2 linked regions of the Caenorhabditis elegans genome follow. The protein of the gene in region 1 purifies or fractionates together with the protein of each later gene. This does not show direct contact. Each region holds a gene or a part of one and is shown on either strand. Other genes may lie near its edges. The genes, in order: alh-10 and pgm-1.

The links.
Region 2: the proteins of alh-10 (region 1) and pgm-1 fractionate together in Caenorhabditis elegans (co-fractionation; one large-scale study listed by BioGRID). This does not show direct contact.

The regions. Positions count from the first base shown.
Region 1 is NC_003284.9:7,139,692-7,145,511, reverse strand, and holds alh-10 (Aldehyde dehydrogenase domain-containing protein), read left to right. Parts: upstream 1-1,870; 5' UTR 1,871-1,934; coding exon 1,935-2,167; intron 2,168-2,827; coding exon 2,828-2,956; intron 2,957-3,000; coding exon 3,001-3,178; intron 3,179-3,221; coding exon 3,222-3,568; intron 3,569-3,837; coding exon 3,838-3,946; intron 3,947-3,986; coding exon 3,987-4,142; intron 4,143-4,189; coding exon 4,190-4,300; intron 4,301-4,346; coding exon 4,347-4,475; intron 4,476-4,810; coding exon 4,811-4,939; 3' UTR 4,940-5,008; downstream 5,009-5,820. Other genes in the region: Laminin-like protein lam-2, read left to right, coding at 1-212, 264-445, 495-578; clec-86 (C-type lectin domain-containing protein), read right to left, coding at 5,018-5,310, 5,358-5,476, 5,523-5,611.
Region 2 is NC_003280.10:4,887,471-4,892,029, forward strand, and holds pgm-1 (phosphoglucomutase (alpha-D-glucose-1,6-bisphosphate-dependent)), read left to right. Parts: upstream 1-1,966; 5' UTR 1,967-1,972; coding exon 1,973-2,218; intron 2,219-2,271; coding exon 2,272-2,552; intron 2,553-2,599; coding exon 2,600-3,485; intron 3,486-3,536; coding exon 3,537-3,830; 3' UTR 3,831-3,957; downstream 3,958-4,559. Other genes in the region: R05F9.7 (Serpentine Receptor, class E (Epsilon)), read left to right, coding at 126-187, 236-583, 628-741; gst-9 (putative glutathione S-transferase 9), read left to right, coding at 4,118-4,250.

The sequences.
Region 1 (5,820 bases):
CGAAGCTGTTCAGTATGATATTGAACAATTAATGGAAGAACTCACAGATTCAAATGAAAACCTGCAGTATTACAAGAAACAAGCCGAAGACGATAAGCAAATGGCTACTGAAGCGGTCCGCAAGGCAACTCTTGCCAAGAATTCTGCCATCGAAGCAAATGCTACCATTCTCGCTGAGGAAGATGAAATCAAGAAAATCATCAATTCTTTGGGTAAGAACACTATTTAGCTCAGTCAATTATTTAATGTCACTCATATTTCAGATACCATGGAAGAAGTGAACAACGCGGAGCTAGATGAGCTCGAGGAGGAAATTGACAGACTTGATCAATTGTTGGCTCAGGCACAACTTGCCAAGGAAGTTCCCACGTATCAGCAATACCGCGCTGACGAGGACGTAAAGGTGGCACAGCTCAAAAATGATATTTCTGAGCTCCAGAAGGAGGTTTGTTTTGCTGGCTATAGTATTCGTATAATTAAACTGTATTTTTCAGGTTTTGAACCTAGAGGAAATCCGTGACAACTTGCCAACCAAATGCTTCAATGTCATCAATTTGGAGCAAGAGGGACAGAAATAAGATAATCTTTATAATTTTTCTATCAAACTTTTTCTATGAAAATCGATCAGATAATTTATTAACTCTAATATTAAAATATCTGAAAAAGAGCCCTTAAAAATTATTAGGTCGGCAAATAATTATTGACGTGTTTTGCCAATTAACGATTTTTTGTAAATTTTATATGTGTCTCTTACAGTAAACCGAGAGTGTATAAAAGCATATGAATATCAGTTGCTTTGGTCATCTGAGTAGTAATACGATTCGAAAAAATCGAAAAGTTTTTTTTCCAATTTTTTGAGTTAGCCGTGAGAGTTGTAATGTTAATATCTAAATCAATTAAGTTCTGTTTGCTTAATGCAAAAAATGAATCCCAACCCAATTGAGCCATTCCATAAACTTAATAGTAAATCAAAGTCAAAAAGCAAACCGCACAAAAATACGATATTTTTTAGTTTTGATTAATTCTTGGAAATATTTTCTTCACAGCTAACTCAAAAAATCGCGAAAAGCATTTTTCAAAAAATTTTTGATTTTTTAGATTCTTAATACTACGCAGGTAGCCAAAGTAGCTGATATTTTTATGTTTTCATACATTCACATTTTACTATAAGACACACATACAAAATTTACAAAAATTGTTAATTGACAAAATACGTCAATAATTATTTGTCTACCTAATAAAATACGTTTAAATTGCTGATCGACTTCTATTATTAATTTACGTGTTGAGCCGGGATAATTATTTTTGTTCCCATAACTAATAATTTCCTCTTCCTGTCGCCTTATTGTCACATTACCCTCACCTTCCCCGGTGCCCAAACGCGTGCACAGCTTGATGAAATTTTGCAAAATTTTGTTAAGCATCTTCTGTTTTTTTGTCTTCTTTCCTATTATTTTGTGATAATGTTGAACTGTTCAACTATTCTAAATTATCACGCTAAACTATTTCCTTTATCAACGATTCTCTATTTAAAAAATATACCAAATTCATTTTTGTTATCCGAAATCTCATACCAAATTTTGCCACCAACACATCGATTTCCCCAACGCTTTCAGTTTCTTATTTGTTTTAATTAATATTTTTATAAACGTTCAATTTTAAAATTTTTTATGAAATTACGAAATACAGTTTAAGTTTTCAGAATATTTTCCAGACTACAAATATGACAACAATGTTATCTTTGTAGGCACACCATGGACAAACCATGCATCATAAGGTTTTTGCATTGCATACTGACCTTGAATAGATACTCGGTGTTGTTCGTGCCGATCGATGAGAACTATATAAGAGATGATGATATTGCAGAGATAGGAGAACATACCGAACAATTCTATTCATTCTACCAAAAACACAAGGTTCAAAATTGACTCAAAATGGCTTCTTTGAATTATCGCGAGGAGTTCAAAAATATTCTTCAAAAGCTTATCGATTCCCCCAATGAACAACACGACCCATTGACAAATTTTATTGGAAATGAATTTGCAAGATCGGAGAAATTAATGGACTCAGTTAATCCTTCGACTGGAAAACCTTGGATCAAAATACCAGACGGGACTGCGAGAGAAGTAGATCAAGCGGTTGAAGCCGCTAAAGAAGCGTTCAAAACGTAAGTTTTTGTGTTTAAATAAACCAAATATTGCTCAATTCTTAAAGCAGTGCAAAATAAATTATTTGAAACTATACCATTTTAACAACTAACAATTTTTCCCGGCTAAAAATTAATAGATCCATCGACCTTAAAATACCTACATAAATCTAGTTGAAAACACATGATAATTAACTTGTATACCCAAAATTAGACAGCGATTTTATAACAATTTGTTTCCAGCCTCTGCGACAATGCCACGTAGGTCGAATTTTAAATATTTACAAACTTTATGTCATTTTCTAAGCCGCCATAACTTTATTTTGAGAAGATTTGTAGAAGTTTAATGACTAAATTTGGTGTTTTCATAAAATTTTAAGTCTACTACAGCAATACAAAATTCTACTGCATCACCTTTAATTGTATGTGTATTTGTTAGTTTTTTACAAATTATATTCAAAACTGGAAATTTAAAATCAGATTTTCAAAGTTTTAATTGTCAGGTTTAGTTTTTATAAATATTTTTGAAGTTTGTACACCAGTTTTATCATGCAAATCTCCAAACTATTTCATGTCGCATTATTATGCAAATTTACGGAGAATCTGTATTGAAACTGTGTCCAACCCAAAAAAATCCTCGAACTACTCAAAAAATTAATTTTCAAATCAAAACATTTTCAGCTGGAAAAAAACAACAGTGCAGCAACGATCAGCACTTCTCAATAAAGTTGCTAATCTCATAGAGGAGTTTAACGATGATATCGCTATTTTGGAGAGCCGTGACCAAGGAAAGCCAATTGGACTGGCTAAGTGAGTGAACCTTTTTTGAAATAATAACTCCAATTCCTGTTTAGAGTGATGGATATTCCTCGTTGTGTGCAAAACTTTAGAGATTTTGCAAATGCTGCTCTTTACTCCCTATCAACTTCAACCATTCTCGAGCAACCTACAGGAAAATTTGTTAACTATGTGAAAAATGACCCTGTAGGTGTTGCTGGTCTTATTAGCCCATGGAACCTTCCCCTTTACTTGGTAAAATCGAACTTCGAAAAATATTTTTTACAACTGTTTTTAGCTTTCGTTCAAATTGGCTCCCGCATTGGTGGCTGGAAACACAGTAGTTTGTAAACCAAGTGAGATGACTAGTGTTACTGCATGGGTTTTAATGCATGCATTCAAACTAGTTGGATTTCCTCCTGGTGTCGTAAATATGGTGATTGGCGAAGGAAAAAGTGCTGGACAACGATTGGTTGATCATGTCGATGTTCCACTCATTAGTTTCACTGGGAGCACGGTAATAGGAAAGAAAATCCAAGAAGATGGTGCGAAGCTCAATAAAAAAGTGTCTCTGGAGATGGGAGGGAAGAATCCTGGAATAGTTTACTCTAATTACCGAAAGTCGGATATTGCTTCAATTGCAAGGTATTTGAAATTGTAACTGTTCTGTCTACTCTGCCCATCATGTGTAGATACCTAGTTTGAAATTTGAAAAAAACACAACTTTTTGTGCAAACACTGTGGTTCAAAGTAAGGATAATATGTTTATTAAAACTGATAAAACTAATTCTCGTCACGATGACAGTTGACGTAATTTGATGTTACCAAATCATCCTTTTTTATCTATACAAAATTTGTAACATAATGATATCACTTCCAAATAGGCACAAATTTGTAACTAGATAATGTTATAGGTCCTCATTTCTCAACCAAGGAGAAATTTGTCTCTGCACAAGTCGGCTTTTTGTGCAAAAACCAATTTTTGCTGACTTCGTTAAAAGTTATGTAGAAGAAGCTAAGAAGGTTTGCATTACATTTTTCAGTTCATTAATTCTAATTTTAGTTTACTGTGGGAGATCCAACTACTCAAGTTCAAATCGGAGCCATGAATTCAAAAGTGCACTACGAGAAAGTGAAAAGCTACATTGAGCTTGCCAAAAAAGAAGGCGCCGATATTCTTTGTGGAGGCGTGACGACCATTCAAAATGGGTGTGAGAATGTGAGTCAGATGTTATTAGTTAACCTTGCTAATCTTTGAAATTTTAGGGCTATTTTATTACACCTACAGTAATTGTTGGTTTGCATGACGCTTCGAAAGTTATGACAGATGAAATATTTGGTCCAGTTGTGTGCATCACGCCCTTCGACACAGCGGAGGTATGTTATGATGTTACAAGTTTTAAAGTATTTTCTGATAACACAGGAAGTAATTGAACGCGCAAACTCCACTCCCTATGGCTTGTCAGCAACAGTTTGGAGTTCAGATAGTGATGAATTGTTAAACACGGCCAACGAGCTGAGAGCCGGAACAGTTTGGTGCAACACTTGGCTGGTAAGATAATGGGAGATGATAATTCGAGTTGGGTGTGACCAAGTTCTAGTTAATTACGGACGATAAGAGCGGTATGTGTGGGTAGACAGACAACATGACGATTGACCAATTTGTTTTGCTTGGAATGATGTTCATGTAGCTACAGACCAAACTAAATTAATTGTAAATGTACCAAGAATCCATGAAAATCACCAAAAATAAAGAATGCTTTTAAAAAATTTATAGATATTCTGTGCTGCTTAATTGTTTCACTAAGCGTCACTAAAAACTACTTGGAACTTTTCCAATAGTTAATCAACTCTCGGTTTTAAATTATTCTCATGTTGAAAATTCAGGCTCGCGACCTGAGCATGCCGTTTGGTGGATGTAAGCAATCTGGAAATGGAAGAGAAGGTCTCCACGACTCACTCCACTTTTACTCCGATGCAAAAACTGTTTGTGTGAATATTGCTGCTAAGTACTAACTTATCATGAATCGCAACCGTTTATTGTAAAATCCAATTTAGCTCATAATATATAAATATTTTCTTTCGAATCAAAAGTTATTTAGAACAAGATGGACATGGTGGGCATGTGTACGATCCTCCAGTTGGATATGCTCCATTTGGATACTGGCACAGGAACTGATGCTTAACTGTGCACAAATCGGAAAACCATCTTCCTGTTGACAGTTGCATTGCTCCACAATGACGATCTTCAAGAGGCTGTCCAGGTCCGGGATTGGTGAAGTTCAAAACGCTCCCATCTGTCCATCTCCAGTCATTTGTATGTCCTTCGTCGCTTCCACCAATCCAGAACAAGTCATAGTCAGCATCTAGATTATCAACAGCTAGTTCTGAAATCAATGTATTTGGTTTAGAAATTCATATGTTCAAGACATACTTTGAATCCAGTTGTTTTCGATCATGCTGTGAATTGATACCAGACTTCCACCAACGGTTTTCAAGCAATGAGCATCGGAGTCATTGAATGTTCCATGTACTCGATTGTATGAAAAACAACTGAAAGATGTGATATTGAGACAATTTATAACAATAAATAACTTACTAAATCTCAAATGGAGTATCTCCAGGAAGACAATTTGGTGACACAAAACACAAAAGCGCGACAAGAGTAAAGAACAAAACACGAAGCATTTTCAGTGTCCAGTAAAATAATAAATTTTATCTGCTTATCACAGCTATTTATATACTCCATTTTAAGGCGTCTCCGTATTCTTCCCACAATATTATAAGCTTTTATCAGTGCTTTTTGCAGTTAAAATATTTAAAAAAATTAAACTCATAGATGAGACTGGAATGTTCATCTGTCTGTGTTATCATCGTTTGATGACTGATTTTGATAA
Region 2 (4,559 bases), on another chromosome or scaffold:
TCTATTTTCAAAAAAGCAGCAAAATAACCTAATTTTAAAAACAAAAAAGGGGTAGGTATAGGCACTGGCAGGCATATACTCTTTTCACAATTCACATTCTTAACATCAAAAATAGTTATTTTCAGTTGAAGCTTCTTTGTTGTATATTATTCTATTCGCATCACTATGGGCAGTTTTCTCAAACATTGTAAGAAGCACAATGCCCATTTTTCAAAATAATTTCTTCATTTTTTAGGTTTTAATGTGCCTTTACTATTATAATGTACAAGAATCCAAGAGATTATCATGGAAAGCTGAGAATCTTCGGAAAATGAAAAATGTAAATTATACATTGAGCAAGAAGTTTCAAGTTGAAGAAAATGTGAAAATTATTAAATATCTGCAAGTTATGAGCTCCATGTTGGTTTTTCTCATATTTTTTGTTATTATATTTATTGTAGTTCCTAGAGTATATCTGGGTTCAAAAACATATTCGGGTCAAGTTATGATTTCACTTTTTGATATTAATTTGGCACTTGGTGCAATTCTAATTCCTTCCGTTTGCGTTTTACATTTACGGAAAACTAGAGATATGCCATTTTCTGTAGGTTTTTATCAATTTTTCAGATTTTCATTATATATTTTCAGGGGAAAATCCATTGTTTGAATAAGAGACGCGATGACCGTCAGGTGAACCCGATTACTGTATTTGAAGACGTTACAAAATCATATTTCGATCAATTTCAAACATCTTGGCGATGATTCATATGATTTTTGGAAATATTACTTTGAAGTTTTGTTATAAAATGTTACATTAGAAACATTTGTGTTTTTTAAACATGTTTTATTCTTCAGTGATTCTTCCAGCACAAAACAAAAACAGCACAAAGTCCGTTGTTTTATTTTTAGTGAGAGCGTCACTTTGTTTTTATAAATAATTTAGATTCTTTTATTCATATAATTTTTGGGTAAAAAACTGTTTTTGGTTTTTTGAAAAATTTCATTAAAGTGAAACATTAACCACGGTAGAATTAAAGGCGCAGCATGAATAAGTTTTCGTGTGCTCCGCAACGATTTTAACTACCTTAACCTACAATCGGAATTCGTTTAAAAAACAAAAAGCGAGTCATTTTGTTTCAATAAAAAGTTGAGTTTTTCTTAAATACTTATCAATATTTTCTCCAAATTTCATTCGGTTACTATCAAAAAAAAGTTTTTTATTAATTACGGTCGGTTTAAAGGCACAGAAGGAAAAAAGTGTTTGTCAGTATCGCAGCGATTTTAATTACCGCATACCATTATTGAAATTTTGTTTGAAAAAAACAAATTACTCGAAATGCGCGCGCGGTATTCACCATTTGTATCGTTCTTTTTCCCGAAATTTCGTTGTTTTTGTGTTCGACACAATATATTCAATAGTTTGTAGCGATGAAAACCTTGATAAGCAATAGGGGGCGTCTCGAATTTTCGAAAGAGAGTATAAAGAAGATAAATTTTTTTTCGCTCATTGATTTCTTTTCATTTTTCTTTATCTTTTTTGATGAACAGCAGCAGTTGTTCCATTTCTACACGTATTTTGTTGCTCTCTATTTCTCTGAACTCTCTGTTTGTGTGGGTGCTCTCCTTTGGCGCCAACAACTGCAGCTGGCATTTCTTTTCTTTTTTCGCTGCGAAATCTGAACTATTCCTGCCCACCCACCAGAAGATAAATAAATTCTTCGTGTTCTTAACATGTCTGTCTACCTGGACTTTAAAAACCCCATTTAAAAGTTGCATTTGAGGTCAAAAGTTATCCCAGAAGAGTTCGAGCACATTTTAGGTCGGCCCATTTCTAAAGTTATTCATTTTTCTATGTTTACTATCACTGAACATTGACCAACCACTTGACTTTCGTGATAAGATACGAAGCGATCATTTTCTGTTTACTATTTTCTCTTTTCTCATAGTCAGTCCATTTTATTTTCTGATCTATAATATTTATTTTCAGCCTAAAATGGGAATCGCCGTCGTTGAAACCCCCACAAAACCATTCGCAGGACAGAAACCCGGAACATCTGGTCTTCGCAAACGGGTTCCGGAATTCCAGCAGCAGAATTACACGGAAAACTTTGTTCAAGCAATTTTGGATGCTGGTCTTGGATCGAAAAAGAAGGGTTCTCAGTTGGTTGTTGGTGGAGATGGACGGTTTCTTTCGATGGAAGCCACAAATGTGATTATTAAAATTGCAGCAGCCAATGGGGTAAGAAATATTGAGAAATTTTAGTAATTTTTTTATAAATTTGAGTTTTTCAGCTTTCCCGTCTTATCGTCGGTCAAAACGGTTTCTTGTCGACGCCAGCTCTCTCGAATCTTATCAGAAAAGGACACGAAGGTCGTGTTGTTGATGGAGGAATAATTCTCACTGCTAGTCACAATCCAGGAGGTCCAAAGGGAGATTTTGGAATCAAATTCAACTGCGAAAATGGTGGACCTGCTCCAGATCAAGTCACTGATGCCATTTATCAGATCACAACTAAAATCGATAAATACTTGATTGCCAAGGATTTAGAATGCGATTTTACACAAGTTGGAAGGTAAACACATCAATATTTTGATTACATTGATGTACATTAATTTTCAGATATGAATATGATATTGAGGGAGTTGGTCACTTTGTCGTTGACGTCATTGATTCAGTTACCGAATACATCAACCTCATGCAGAAAATCTTTGATTTCCCAAAAATCAAATCCCTTCTCGCTGGTGAACTTACTGGACGCAAACTCAGAGTTTTACTTGATTCGATGCACGGAGCAACTGGACCATACATCTCTACAATTCTTGTCGATCATCTTGGAGCTGATCCTTCTGATCTTTTGAGAACTGTTCCAAAGCCAGATTTCGGTGGAGGTCATCCAGATCCAAATCTCACCTACGCAAAAACTCTTGTTGAACGCCTCCACACCGGAGAACACGATTTAGGAGCTGCATTTGATGGAGATGGTGATCGTAATATGATTCTTGGAAAGAATGGCTTCTTCGTTTGCCCCAGTGATTCTTTAGCTGTTATTGCTGATAACATTGATTATATTCCATATTTCAAGACTCGTAAGGTTGCTGGTTTTGCTCGTTCAATGCCAACTGCTGGAGCTGTTGATTTGGTTGCCAAGGCAAAGGGACTTCAAGTGTATGAGACACCGACCGGTTGGAAGTACTTTGGAAATCTTATGGATGCTGGAAGAATTGCTATTTGTGGAGAAGAATCATTCGGAACTGGATCTGATCACATTCGTGAGAAGGATGGCGTTTGGGCACTTCTTGCATGGCTTCAAATTCTCGCAGACCGAAAAGAATCCGTCGAGGAAATTGTGACGAAGCATTGGCAGAAATATGGAAGAAATGTGTTCACTCGTTACGACTATGAGAATGTGGATGCAGCTGGTGCCAACTTGTTGATGACTTTCCTTGAAGCTCAATTGCCAGCATTTGTTGGAAGAGATTTCTCGGCAAATGGGGTTACATATAAGGTGAGAGAAAGTTCGAAAAGATTTATTTTTTCTAAAAAATACTATTTCCAGGTTGCTGTCGCTGACAATTTCCAATATACTGATCCAGTGGATGGTTCAGTTGCAACCAAACAAGGACTCCGAATTGTCTTCGAAGATGGATCTCGATTGGTATTCCGACTCTCTGGAACAGGATCTGCCGGTGCTACCATCCGTCTCTACGTTGATTCGTACATTCCTTCAAATGACACTTCTCGCCTTCTACTTCCAGCTCACGAATTGCTCAAACCATTGGTGTTGATTGCACTTGATACTTGCAAAATGGAGCAGTTCACTAATCGCAAGGCTCCAACTGTTATCACATAATTTTAGTATTTAAAAATGATTTATATATTGCATGAGTTTAGCTAAATAATTATGTGTAGATTTTCCTCGGTTTATATAATTTTATGTTGCACGTAAACGAAAAGTTGAATGAAAATTTGAAAACTTATGAGAATATTGTGAAATACATCAATGTTGGTTTTTGGAAAAAAAAGTTGATGTTTGTGGTTTTCTGATGTCGATTTAGTGAGAAATGAGAAACGCAGACACTGAGAGCGAAGGGTTCAAAAGCGCCAGATTGTGACGAATTCTTCATTTTATTCTGAAAAATGGTTTCCTATAAACTAATTTATTTTCAATCTCGTGGAAATGGAGAAATCGCTCGTCAAGTTTTCGCTTTTGCCGGCCAAGAATTTATTGATGAGCGTATTTCTAAAGAGCAGTGGGCAGAAATTAAAAATAGTAAGTTCAAAAGTTGCATTTTAGAATGAAATCCTCAGTTTAAAAAGTTGATTAATTACAATGTAGCGAAATGCTTCAGTTTTTAAGTGGTATCCCGCCACGAACAAAATATCCTCACATAAAGATTAAGGTGTGCCTTTAAGCAGTACAGTAACCCATTTTACAATTTTATTCGATTTTTCCACATTATTAAATAAATTCAATTCGATTTTCTACTGAAAAAAATCGAAAATATAACAATTCAAATATATATTTATTATTGGGGATTTTGGCAGATACTGCAGAAATTTAAAAAACTTTGCAATGCAA